2 linked regions of the Xenopus tropicalis genome follow. The protein of the gene in region 1 purifies or fractionates together with the protein of each later gene. This does not show direct contact. Links are inferred from orthologs where the notes say so. Each region holds a gene or a part of one and is shown on either strand. Other genes may lie near its edges.

Region 1 (5,961 bases):
CCTACCATTAGCACACAATATGCAGTTAAGATCACCTTACAAATAAAATGACGTAGGGTGGGACCAGGAGCTAGGGTTCCCCCACAGAGGTAATGACATCTCACTGGGTAAGGTTTTGCTACGTCAGCACCCTAGGGTGCCTTGGCCTTAAGAGGGACATGCTTTAGGATAAGTAACCCAATCAGCACTTTCCATGACACCATGTTTCTAACAGACCATTCTCTGGTTGCATTGTAGGAGCAGTTCTTGGATCACCAGGCTTTATTAATGTTTGACCTGCCCACAGTGGCCCCGATAGACATGGAGGACAGCTGGGTGACTTTCCAGGCTGAGGGGGAGCAAGGCCAAGATTCCTTTTCTAGCTCGGTTAACCTGGACGACAGTCTGACCAGCTTACAGTGGCTACAAGAATTCTCCATACTCAATGCCAACGTGGGTAAAGCACCATCATCTGGGGACTCCCATGGTTACAAACATCTATCCGGTGCCCCCTGTTCTCCTCTGGCCGCCGACCCCGCTTGCCTGGGCATGCCACATACCCCAGGAAAACCCATCTCCTCGTCCACCTCGCGGGCGTCCCACCTGGGACTCCAGCCAATGGAAGATATCGATTACAAGACCAACCCGCATGTGAAGCCCCCTTATTCCTACGCCACCCTCATCTGTATGGCAATGCAAGCAAGCAAGAAGACCAAGATCACACTGTCTGCCATTTACAAGTGGATCACCGACAACTTCTGCTACTTCCGACACGCCGACCCCACCTGGCAGGTATGTATGCGGATGGGGATGGCAAGACTATTATATACCATATATTATTTATACATTGCAATCTGTTAATATTCCCTCATAACAACGCGGTCTAACTTGCCTTTACCTTACGCCTGAAGCTGCTGTTGTAGTGCTGAGGCAATAAGGCACACAGTGGTATGGTTCTGCTTCTCTCTGCCTGTCCCCTGTGTATAATTACTCTGTGGTTCCGTGAACCTTGAGTTACTATTTTGCGCTTCCTACATCCCACAGCGTCACATGGCTCATTAACCCTTGCCGGCGGGAGCTGTGCATCCATCCCCGTCAACATTCTTCTAAAGATGAACTAATTAATTGTATTGAAAAGCTTAATGGTTAATGTGTAGTGCATGATAGTTCTCCCTTATTCAGGGCCATTGCTGTACATTGGTGTTTTATTTAGCTGGGTGTCAGCCCCCCCGCCCCGCAGTTCTGTACTTTCTGTGTGGCCCTGACACCCCATTGTTCTAAGTAATGGATTGTGAGTAGGAGGGTCCATTTGAGATTGGTTTATAGGGGGATCTTGTACAGTCAGGTGGGGTGGGGGGGGGTGAGCTTCCTGGAAGGAAAGAAAGAGGCCCTCCCTGCTAGTTTAAAGAACTTGTCCCCGATGCCCCTCTTCTGTGATGCTAATGACAGTCCATTTACTGCAGTGACATGTAGCTTATTTATATATACGTGTGTGTGTTCAGTAATTTGGGATAAATATGTGCTTGTGGCACATTTACATTATAAATATGTGTGGTCTGCAGGGCTTTTATTGAGAAGGGCTCTCAGACAAAGTTTCCTGGAGGCAGAAAATAAATCCTCTCCCCCCCCCTCCCTCCCAAGCCAAGTCTTTGGTGAGGTTTAATTAAACATTAGTGTAGGTGGGGGGGGGGGGTTACCCCGACACAGGTGGTTAGGATGGAAGCCGCTGAGGCAGGAATGATAAATATGTTTAACAGGCCAAGCAATAAGCATCCAGAGGAGAGTGATGAATAGAGAGAATGGATGGGAGGGGGGCTCAAAGACGAGCAGAGGAATTTGTTCCCCCCGCCTGTTAAACTTTATTAAACAGTAACTAGCGGATCAGGAAGATCCGGGATCCCTGGGGATTTGATGGCAGAAAGGTGGGAGATATCCTTATTTTAACCCATTTTTGCCCGGCGTTATTATTTAAAAGTAGAAAGCGTGATCTACACCCCCAGAATAGACACACATTTCCCATTCTGCTCCTCCTCTGTCCCACCATTCCCGTAAGCCAGGGGATTCTACAAAGGTCGCCCCTCCTTTTGTCTAAATAGAAGAGGCGGTTAAGGGGGAAGGTATTTGGGATGGCTAGGAATTGGAGAGGTCAAAGGAGGATATGTGGCTATAAAGTCAGCACGCTCAGCCCACTGGATCTTCCTTTCTCTACTATTTTATGATTCCAATCTTTTTGTTTTTAGCTTCCAACTCCCTTTCTACCCATTCTTCCCTCCCTACATCTGTATCTCAGACTAGGCCTGGGGAAAAACAAAAAACAAGGGCTTTCTCTGCCCAACTTGCATTATTCCCAACTCCATAAGTTTTCTCCATAAATTTCAGAATGATCAATTTTCATCTAATTTTCTTTTTTTCTCCCAACTAGAATTCTATTAGACACAACCTCTCCCTGAATAAGTGTTTCATCAAAGTCCCACGGGAAAAAGATGAGCCTGGCAAAGGAGGCTTCTGGAAGATTGACCCACAATATGCCGATCGCCTGATGAATGGGGCCATGAAGAAGCGCAGACTCCCGCCTGTGCAGATCCATCCGGCCTTCGCTAGCGCCCAGGCTGCAGCCTCCGGTAATAGCAACAGAGGTTCCCCCTGGCAGTTGAGCGTCAATTCGGAGTCCCACCAACTGCTGAAGGAATTCGAGGAGGCAACCGGTGAGCAAGGCTGGAATGCATTAGGAGAGCATGGCTGGAATGCCATAAGCGATGGGAAGTCCCACAAGCGCAAGCAGCCATTGCCCAAACGCATGTTTAAGGCCCCACGCCTCTCCAGCTCCCCTATGCTCTGCCAAGAGGAGCAGACTGAATTGGGGTCCTTGAAAGGTGATTTTGACTGGGAAGTGATCTTCGACTCTTCAATGAATGGGGTTAACTTCTCGGCCTTCGAGGACCTGGAAGTCACGCCTCCCCTGAGCCCAGTTACGCGCTCTGTCGACCTCACCGTTCATGGAAAGCACATCGACTGCCCACAGCAGTGGTACCCACTGGGACAGGACCAAGCGGTGGTCCAAAACAGCTTGGATTTTGATGAGACCTTCCTGGCCACCTCCTTCCTCCAGCACCCGTGGGAAGAGAACAGGAATGATTATCTGTCAAACTCTGCCAATATCGAACAGCTTTTTGATCTCAATGAGGAATTTCCCGCAGAGCTCAATGACTGGTCTGCCTTGGGCTCCTATATATAATGTTGCCATACAGGGACACAGATAGACACTTATATAAATAAATTTATATTTACTAAGAACTTTTATGAACATTTATGAAATCCTTTGCAGAGCAGAGGGTACCGATTCTGGAGTTTACACAGTTTGGGAATAGATCGGGTCTATCCCGCTGAACGCTCCTCCAGTGGCCTGAGCTGTCGGGCAGCAGATACGCTGGGCAGAAGACTGTCCCGTTCCCTCTGTCCATGATGAAAAGAACAGTACTTAAATAAAGAACCTTTTTGTACTTATTTTTCTAGGTATTTTCAAAACGAACTTAGGTGTTACCTCTGTATTGTGGGTAGGGCGAAATACAGACAATGTGATATCAGATGAGTCTGATGTATGATCACTTCTGGAATATGTGCAATGTGCCCTTCCCTCTCTCTTTCTCTCTTCCACAGGCCGAAGAGTTGCCCGTTATCTGTCTTCTAATCTTTTTTTATATAACAGCGGTAGAAATGGGAGAAAAAAAAAAACAGATAGACAACGAAAAAAAAACGAAAATACCTAAACCTAATGTGTTTAATGTCATTAGGAATACTGTTATTATTGGGGGGTGATTTCTTTTTATTTTAGAAATTTTAACCAGACACAACAAATCTAACTTTATTTAGCCTCCTATTGCCTGTCTTTCATTCCTAATCCCTTGTTACTGAGAAATCAGACAGAGTGATATCAAGATGTACAGGCTTGGTGTAATAATACCTTAAATATATATATATATATATATATAAAAACAAATATTCAACGTATATTTTTTTCTCAAAACCAATTTCTGTCGGCTTCCACATTGCCATAGACGCTGCCCTGGCAACAAAGAGAGTCGGGAAATAGCTACTGGGAGAAAAAGGTGTCCAGTAGTTTTCTCTTTTGTTTTTTTTCTATCTGAGGAAGGGAATGAGAGTGTGTGAGAATGCTTGTGTTTGAACAGAAAAGAAGGCAGCCAACAATGCAGATTTTATGACTCTGTTTATCTCCTGCCTGAATGGTTCAAACATTATTATGCAATTGCAATTGGGGTAGAAGGGTGACTGAAAAGTGGGCCACTGTTTTTCGGATGAATAAAAACGACAGCACGCTTGTATGAGCTTCCAAGTGTGTGTGTTCCGCAAATAAATTCATTTTTGTATAAAAAAAAAATACATTGGATCTTGTCTTGATTTGCTGTCATATTCAGTTGGGTGGTTTGGGGGGAAAATATGTACTTTGATCATTTTAAACGTTATATAGTCTCTTGCACTTGAATAGAGGGGAGTAGTGGCTCGCTCTACAGGGATTATACATCATTCCCATCAGTCGCTGCCCCAGTGAGCTTACAATCTAAGGTCCCTATCACATTCCCATCAGTCCCTGCCCCAGTGGAGCTTACAATCTAAGGTTCCTATCACATTCCCATCAGCCCCTGCCCCAGTGAGCTTACAATCTAAGGTCCCTATCCCATTCCCATCAGTCCCTGCCCCAGTGGAGCTTACAATCTAAGGCCCCTATCCCATTCCCATCAGTCCCTGCCCCAGTGGAGCTTACAATCTAAGGCCCCTATCACATTCCCATCAGTCCCTGCCCCAGTGGAGCTTACAATCTAAGGCCCCTATCACATTCCTATCAGTCCCTGCCCCAGTGAGCTTACAATCTAAGGTCCCTATGCCATTCCCATCAGTCCCTGCCCCAGTGAGCTTACAATCTAAGGCCCCTATCACATTCCCATCAGTCCCTGCCCCAGTGGAGCTTACAATCTAAGGCCCCTATCACATTCCCATCAGTCCCTGCCCCAGTGGAGCTTACAATCTAAGGTCCCTATCACATTCCCATCAGTCCCTGCCCCAGTGGAGCTTACAATCTAAGGCCCCTATCACATTCCCATCAGTCCCTGCCCCAGTGGAGCTTACAATCTAAGGCCCCTATCACATTCCCATCAGTCCCTGCCCCAGTGGAGCTTACAATCTAAGGACCCTATCACATTCCCATCAGTCCCTGCCCCTGTGAGCTTACAATCTAAGGTCCCTATCCCATTCCCATCAGTCCCTGCCCCAGTGGAGCTTAGAATCTAAGGTCCCTATCACATTCCCATCAGTCCCTGCCCCAGTGAGCTTACAATCTAAGGTCCCTATCACATTCCCATCAGTCCCTGCCCCAGTGGAGCTTACAATCTAAGGTCCCTATCACATTCCCATCAGCCCCTGCCCCAGTGAGCTTAGAGTCTAAGGTCCCTATCATATTCCCATCAGTTCCTGCCCCAGTGGAGCTTACAATGTAAGGTCCCTATCACATTCCCATCAGCCCCTGCCCCAGTGGAGCTTACAATATAAGGTCCCTATCACATTCCCATCAGTCCCTGCCCCAGTGAGCTTACAATCTAAGGTCCCTATCACATTCCCATCAGTCCCTGCCCCAGTGGAGCTTACAATGTAAGGTCCCTATCACATTCCCATCTGTCCCTGCCCCAGTGGCACTTACAATCTAAGGTCCCTATCCCATTCCCATCAGTCCCTGCCCCAGTGGAGCTTACAATCTAATGTCCCTATCCCATTCCCATCAGTCCCTGCCCCAGTGGAGCTTACAATCTAACCCCTTTCACACAAACCAGGGGTGGTTTTATAAGGAGCCAATTAACCTGCCTGTAGGAGGAAACCGGAGTACCTGGAGAAACCCACTACTAAGAACATACTCCGTAATAGTAATGTGTGTAATAGTATATAGTGCTCTGGCTCTGGCAAAGTTGTCCAAGT
Region 2 (6,158 bases), on another chromosome or scaffold:
GGACAGAAAAATAATTGGTTTTCCTCCTTTCTATATAAGGATGGACTCCACTCCCTGATCAAGTTTTTTCTTCTGTCCTGTGGTTAAGATAGAGGACAGTTCCAAGTTATAGTTAATTTGAACTTAGCTTGTTTTTATTTTCTTTGAGGTATGCAGAGTTACCTCCCATGCAGTAGGAAAGCTAATGGCTGCCACTTAGGTTTAAAGATCCAAATACAAACTGTAGATAAATTGAAAATGCCAAAGAGGTTTTGGGTGTTTTTAAAAGTAAATTAAAAGGGGGCATATACCTTCCTGACAAGGTCTCCCCCTCTCGTCCTGCAAAGTAGTCAGCCCAAGCTTAATTACAGATGCAAGAGAGATCCCCAGTGCAAACTGTCCTTGCCAGTTGTACAGCAGTTATCGAACATAAAGGATTTATAATGCAGTACTTGCTTGTCAATATTACTTATTATAATCAATTGCACAAGGCATTTATATCCTGAGGGCAATGACACGCACAGCTACTTGTAGCTAGCTACAAAATAGATAACTGATAATTGTCTCTACATGTGTTTGCCATAGATAATACTGAGAATTGTCTCTGCTACGAGTATTTTCTGGCATTTTGTAGCTGTGACAAGTAGCACCATGTGTCTTAGCCCTTACTGCAATTATAAATGCCATAATTACATTGTTGGGATGAAATGACATTGTAAAGATAAGGATTTGCGGAAGTGGAAGATTCTGCTGACTGCTGTTGACAAGTTTATTCACTCAGACATAGACTTTTTGAATGTTTTCCTGTAATCTCAACATTTTTAGATGTCATCTGAAAGAAAAGGTTTTGTTTGCTTAAAAATGTTAAATATACAAATATAAATGTTATTTCTCTTTAAACAATCCGTGTATAAAGAACCTTTCTGCTTTACTCCTTCCCTCCAGTTTCTTCTCCATGGATAAGTAGTTTGGGACAGGACTTTTATTTTAGACAAACACACTTTCTTTTAGGTACTAAATTTGCTGTTTTTGGATTAAGCCAAATACCAAACCTTTGGGCAAATCTGGATTATAATTTGCATATGCAGATTTGTAACATCCTGTGGGGGAAAACAAATCTGCTAATCATGCAGAAAAAGTCCTTTAGTTTCTGTGGTCACATGGTTTTAAGGATTTCCCTTGACCCAGTCAGGGCGCTGAAGATCTGCCTCTAACAACCAAGGATGTCAGAGCTTTGTCCCTGACTGTAGGACAAACAAGGAGTGCAAATAGATGTTCTTTGGTGTCATTGTCTCCATATGGACAAGTGGATGTTCTCAGAACATACATTGCCTTATGTAATCCTCTGTGGATCAGGACATACTAGGTGTGTCAGGATCTCCTGGACTTTAAAGAACCAAACTTTAGCCAAACAGTTTTATAGGGTCCCTACAGGTCTTTGCAATATCAGGTACTCTTTGTCAGCAGTATACAGCAAGCCCCAGTCCCTTAACTTCCTTAAGTGCCTTAATCTTTTGTAGTGTAAATAGTTTAACTATTGGTATACCCCATGGTTCCTGTGTCCTACAAATGATTGAAAAGCGAACAGGTTAACTGTGAGAAACAAAATCACCTCTTCTATTTTTCATTAATTGCTCTTGTTTTGACCTTAGGAAACGCTTATACATGGAAGTATTTGAATATACACGTCCAATGATGCATCCTGAACCAGGGAAGTTCTACCCAATTAACCCTGAAGAATATGAACATCCAAATCCATGGAAAGAAAGCTTTCAGCAATTGGTATGGTCATAATATTTTTTTTATTTAAATGTATTAAGCGCCTGTTTGTTGAACCATAATTCTTTCTGCAAAGATTTAAGATGTTAGGGTTTTGGGTGTCTGCACAAAATAATTCCTTTTAAATGGATTTGTATAATAGCAGGAGAGATATAGGAGATGCATGGTAGGCATTTGTTTTTGCCCACTTTTAAGGTCATGCATATAACACACCCTCATTCTCTGTGACAGAGCCCCTACATTCATACAGATTTAGCAGTGAATTCAGTGTTAATAGACACTGCTTTACATATAAATATAACGAACCACCCTATAATCATACAGATTCAGACATCATTTTATTATATAATTCTTTATGTAGTATTTTCCATTAACTTTACAGAGATTTTGTATCAGTCTTACATCTCTCTCACATTCATACACACTAGGGCCAATCTAATCAATCAACCTGACTATAAAATTGCAAACTATATTGGCTACATCACTATGAACAGGCAGGCCTGGTGTGACTGTTAGCTGATGTACTGCATGGGCATCTCTCACCTAGTCAACTTCAGGTTAGACCTTTTGCATAAGGAATTATTGTTTGGGTCACTGGACCTGCAGCAATACAACTGAAAGAGCTGGCAGTGTAAAATAAGCTTGCATGTACAAAGCAAAAGTGTAAAAGCTGTATGTAAAGAATTAAATCAATCTCTGAGATAATAAAAGAATACTTGCCCTTTTTAATACTTTTGTTTCCCTGTTACAGTACAAAGGTGCGCATGTTAAACCAGGCTTTGCAGAACACTTCTACAGTAATCCTACAAGATACAAAGGCAGAGAGAATATGTTGGTGAGTTCACTGTAATTTCTTTGTAATGGTAGAAGATATTTGTCAGACACTAAAGATCTCCAATATTCCTGTTTTCCAGTATTATGATACTATCGAGGATGCTCTTGGCGGTGTACAGGAAGCACATTTTGACGGGCTAATCTTTGTGCATTCTGGCATCTACACAGATGAATGGATATACATTGAGTCCCCAATAACCATGATTGGTGCAGGTAATAAAACATCAGTGTTGAATAAGTCAGTTGTGTTTGTGTTCTCTGCAGATGCATCAGTTTGCATATCCGTTTTGCTGCACTTGCTTTTACATTTATTTATAGTAAAAGTAGTGCAGTAGTGAATGATTTGTTTATTTTTCTGGTAAATTCATATGCTTGTCTTGTACAGAAACCTGTGCTAATTAGGCTTACGTCAGTCGATTTGTACATTAAACGAAAGCAGCTTTCCTAAAGCTAATTTTACTGGAAACTATTTAGCATAAATATCTGTTAATGTCAGATGGTAGCATTTTTTTGCTCTATATATTTTAAGGGGGCTGTCAGTTTTAACTGATTGCCAAGTTTACAGCTAAGGGAAACATTGTCTTTAAGAAATATTTTCAAACCATAATGAAGGGTATGATAGTTCTGCATAATGCAGGCACATTCTAAATTATATTTTAGTTTATGGTAGTCATATTTTTTATGCCACATTATCTGATGCTGCCACATTTTAAATTACCTTTAAATAAAAATTGCTATGTAATCGCCAGAAATATAAAATACAGGTATGGGATCCTTTATCCAGAAACCAGTTATCCAGAAAGTTCTGAACTACAGAAAGGCCATCTTCCATAGACTCCATCATAAGAAAATCATTTTATAAAATTATTTCCTTTTTCTCTGTAATAATGTAACAGTACCTTGTACTTGATCCCAACTAAGATATAATTACCCCTTATTGGGGGCAGAACAGCCCTATTGGGTTTATATAATGGTTAAATGATTCCCTTTTCTCTGTAATAATAAAACAGTACCTGTACTTGATCCCAACTAAGATATAATTACCCCTTATTGGGGGCAGAACAGCCCTATTGGGTTTATTTAATGGTTAAATGATTCCCTTTTCTCTGTAATAATAAAACAGTACCTGTACTTGATCCCAACTAAGATATAATTAATCCTTTGGAGGCAAAACAAGCCTATTGGGTTTATTCAATATTTAAATGATTTTTAGCAGACTTAAGTTATGGAGATCCAAATGATGGAAATATCCCTTATCCGGAAAACCCCAGGTCCCGAGCATTCTGGACAGCAGGTCCCATACCTGTACTTACAGCCTAGATTGGCAAACTAACTTCTAAAATGAAATGTTACATTTTATAATTAGAAGTGTGATGCGTTAACCATGTGTGTTGTGTATAAAGCACTGCAAATGCGATAGTAATGTTTCCTTTGATTTGTCTACAGCACCAGGAAAAGTAGCAGACAAGGTAATTATTGAGAATACAAGAGATTCCACATTTGTATTTATGGAGGGATCAGAGGATGCCTATGTTGGTTACATGACAATACGGGTGAGTAGTTTATATTCATGTCTATCACAAATACTTTTTTTGCTATAATGTCTTTTGAATATGGCAAGCCTCATCTTTTAAGAGATTAAGTTGCGGTTGTAAGAAATCTGATGTATACTACCTGCCAGTGCCATACTGACCATAAATTGACTTAATTTGTTATAGTCCCAGAAACAAGGTTATTTTGCAGCTCATTATGAAGGTAAAATGTTTCTGATGTCAGTAAATCAAGGATTTTATGTATTTTTCTTATTTAAATATGCGTTACTTGTGGATGCAGCACAGCAAAGCCATACATTATTAGAGCAAATGGTTCCATTAAATAATAACAAATAAACTTGAATTTAACTATATTTGCTATTTAAGTGCTAAACAAGAGAATGCAGGTCTCTGCCCCATAGAGCTTACAATCTAAATATTTGGTTGAGACTCAAAAATGGTTACATATGCTGTTTATGGTGCTTCAGTGGTCCATTTGTTGGTCACACTGTTCCTCATCAGCACCACCTGCTGGTCAGTTCCTTTGACTGTCGGTTTGGTAGGAAAAGAGAACTCCCCTTGATCCACCATTTAGTGATGGGTTGTGTGCTCCTTCAGAGATCACATGACCAGAAATAATGCAGCTCTGACTGTAACAGGAAGTAGTGTGGGAGCAAAAGGCAGAACTCTGCCCATTAATTGGCTGATGTGACTTAGCATGTATGTGTGCCTTGGCTTGTTTGTGTGCACTGTGAATCCTATGATCCCAGGAGGCGGCCCTTAATTCTTAAAATGGCAGTTTTCTATTTAGGAGTACCCAATAGTACATACTACTAAACTATTTTTATAAATATGGTTTATTTAGATGAAGCAGGGTTTTACATATGAGCTTTGTTTATGCAAGATATTTTTTAGAGAGACCTACATTGTTTGGGGGTATAGTTTTCCTTTAAGCAGTGGTCCCAGCCATGAAGAGTTCCTTGTGTGGCCCTTGGCAGCTCCCTCTCCCTTTTGCTACAACACCTATGGTAACTCGTGAATTTTATCAAACATACAGAATCAGTGTAGGGTTCCACAGGTTATTAGAGACCTGCTGTGAAGGCAAACGAATAGGCTGAGTTTAACTTAGGCACCTGCCCGCTAAAGTGTTGCTCAGCAGCAGTATATTTTACTCTGCCTGACAGGGAATTTATCATCGGAGACTGCTGTTCAGCCACACAAGCACAAAGTACAGAGCGCGTGCAGGATTTTCTCCATTTTTTGTAAGGTGAAGGTTGTACATTTCATCTTTCTTTCAGTTTAACCCTGATGATAAATCAGCCCAGCATCATAATGCACATCACTGCTTAGAGATCACAGTAAACTGCAGCCCAGTCATTGATTTCTGTATCATTCGAAGTACTTGCACAGGTATTGTATATTGTGTTTTAAGGTTGATTCTCCTTCAGTAATGTTTTTACATTGACATGGTTAAAGATCCGGGTGCTAACCACAAATTAACATATCCTCCTTCAGAAAGCACTCACGGTATTAGAAAAAAGAAAATATTTATTTACACAAAAATGTCTACGCGTTTCGATCCATATAGGATCGTCATCAGGACCGTCCTGATGTGTATATATACACACACAAATATTCCTTTTGCAAATAGGAAAACAGGCAAAGCTCTCTCTGGGTTTTATAGATGTCTCATGGATTACTTTACCTCTCTTGCAGTTGGTTCTGCGGTATGTGTCAGCGGCCAGGGTGCATGTCCCACTATCAAACAGTGTAACATTAGCGACTGTGAGAATGTAGGACTCTACATCACCGACCACGCACAGGTACCTTCACGCTTCTTTTTGTGTAACGTTTTTAATAGCCAGAGACTGGTTCTTGAGATACTCTTTTCTCATGTAGGGGATCTACGAGGACAATGAGATCTCCAATAATGCACTAGCTGGAATATGGGTTAAAAATCATGGCAACCCTATTATAAGAAGGAATCACATTCATCATGGGCGAGATGTTGGTGTTTTCACATTTGACCATGGC

What was found. The genes of interacting proteins can lie anywhere in the genome.
Region 2: the proteins of foxj1 (region 1) and fbxo11 purify together in Homo sapiens (affinity purification with mass spectrometry; 3 studies listed by BioGRID and IntAct, counting the BioPlex papers as one, with this or other methods). This does not show direct contact. The link is inferred for Xenopus tropicalis from reciprocal best matches to the Homo sapiens genes FOXJ1 and FBXO11.

Annotation. Positions count from the first base shown.
Region 1 is NC_030686.2:45,076,918-45,082,878, reverse strand, and holds the end of foxj1 (forkhead box protein J1), read left to right. Parts: intron 1-237; coding exon 238-771; intron 772-2,401; coding exon 2,402-3,214; 3' UTR 3,215-4,316; downstream 4,317-5,961. UniProt on the Homo sapiens protein: Transcription factor specifically required for the formation of motile cilia. Acts by activating transcription of genes that mediate assembly of motile cilia, such as CFAP157.
Region 2 is NC_030681.2:21,098,067-21,104,224, reverse strand, and holds part of fbxo11 (F-box only protein 11), read left to right. Parts: intron 1-1,631; coding exon 1,632-1,761; intron 1,762-2,509; coding exon 2,510-2,593; intron 2,594-2,672; coding exon 2,673-2,805; intron 2,806-4,038; coding exon 4,039-4,145; intron 4,146-5,422; coding exon 5,423-5,534; intron 5,535-5,840; coding exon 5,841-5,947; intron 5,948-6,023; coding exon 6,024-6,158. UniProt on the Homo sapiens protein: Substrate recognition component of a SCF (SKP1-CUL1-F-box protein) E3 ubiquitin-protein ligase complex which mediates the ubiquitination and subsequent proteasomal degradation of target proteins, such as DTL/CDT2, BCL6, SNAI1 and PRDM1/BLIMP1.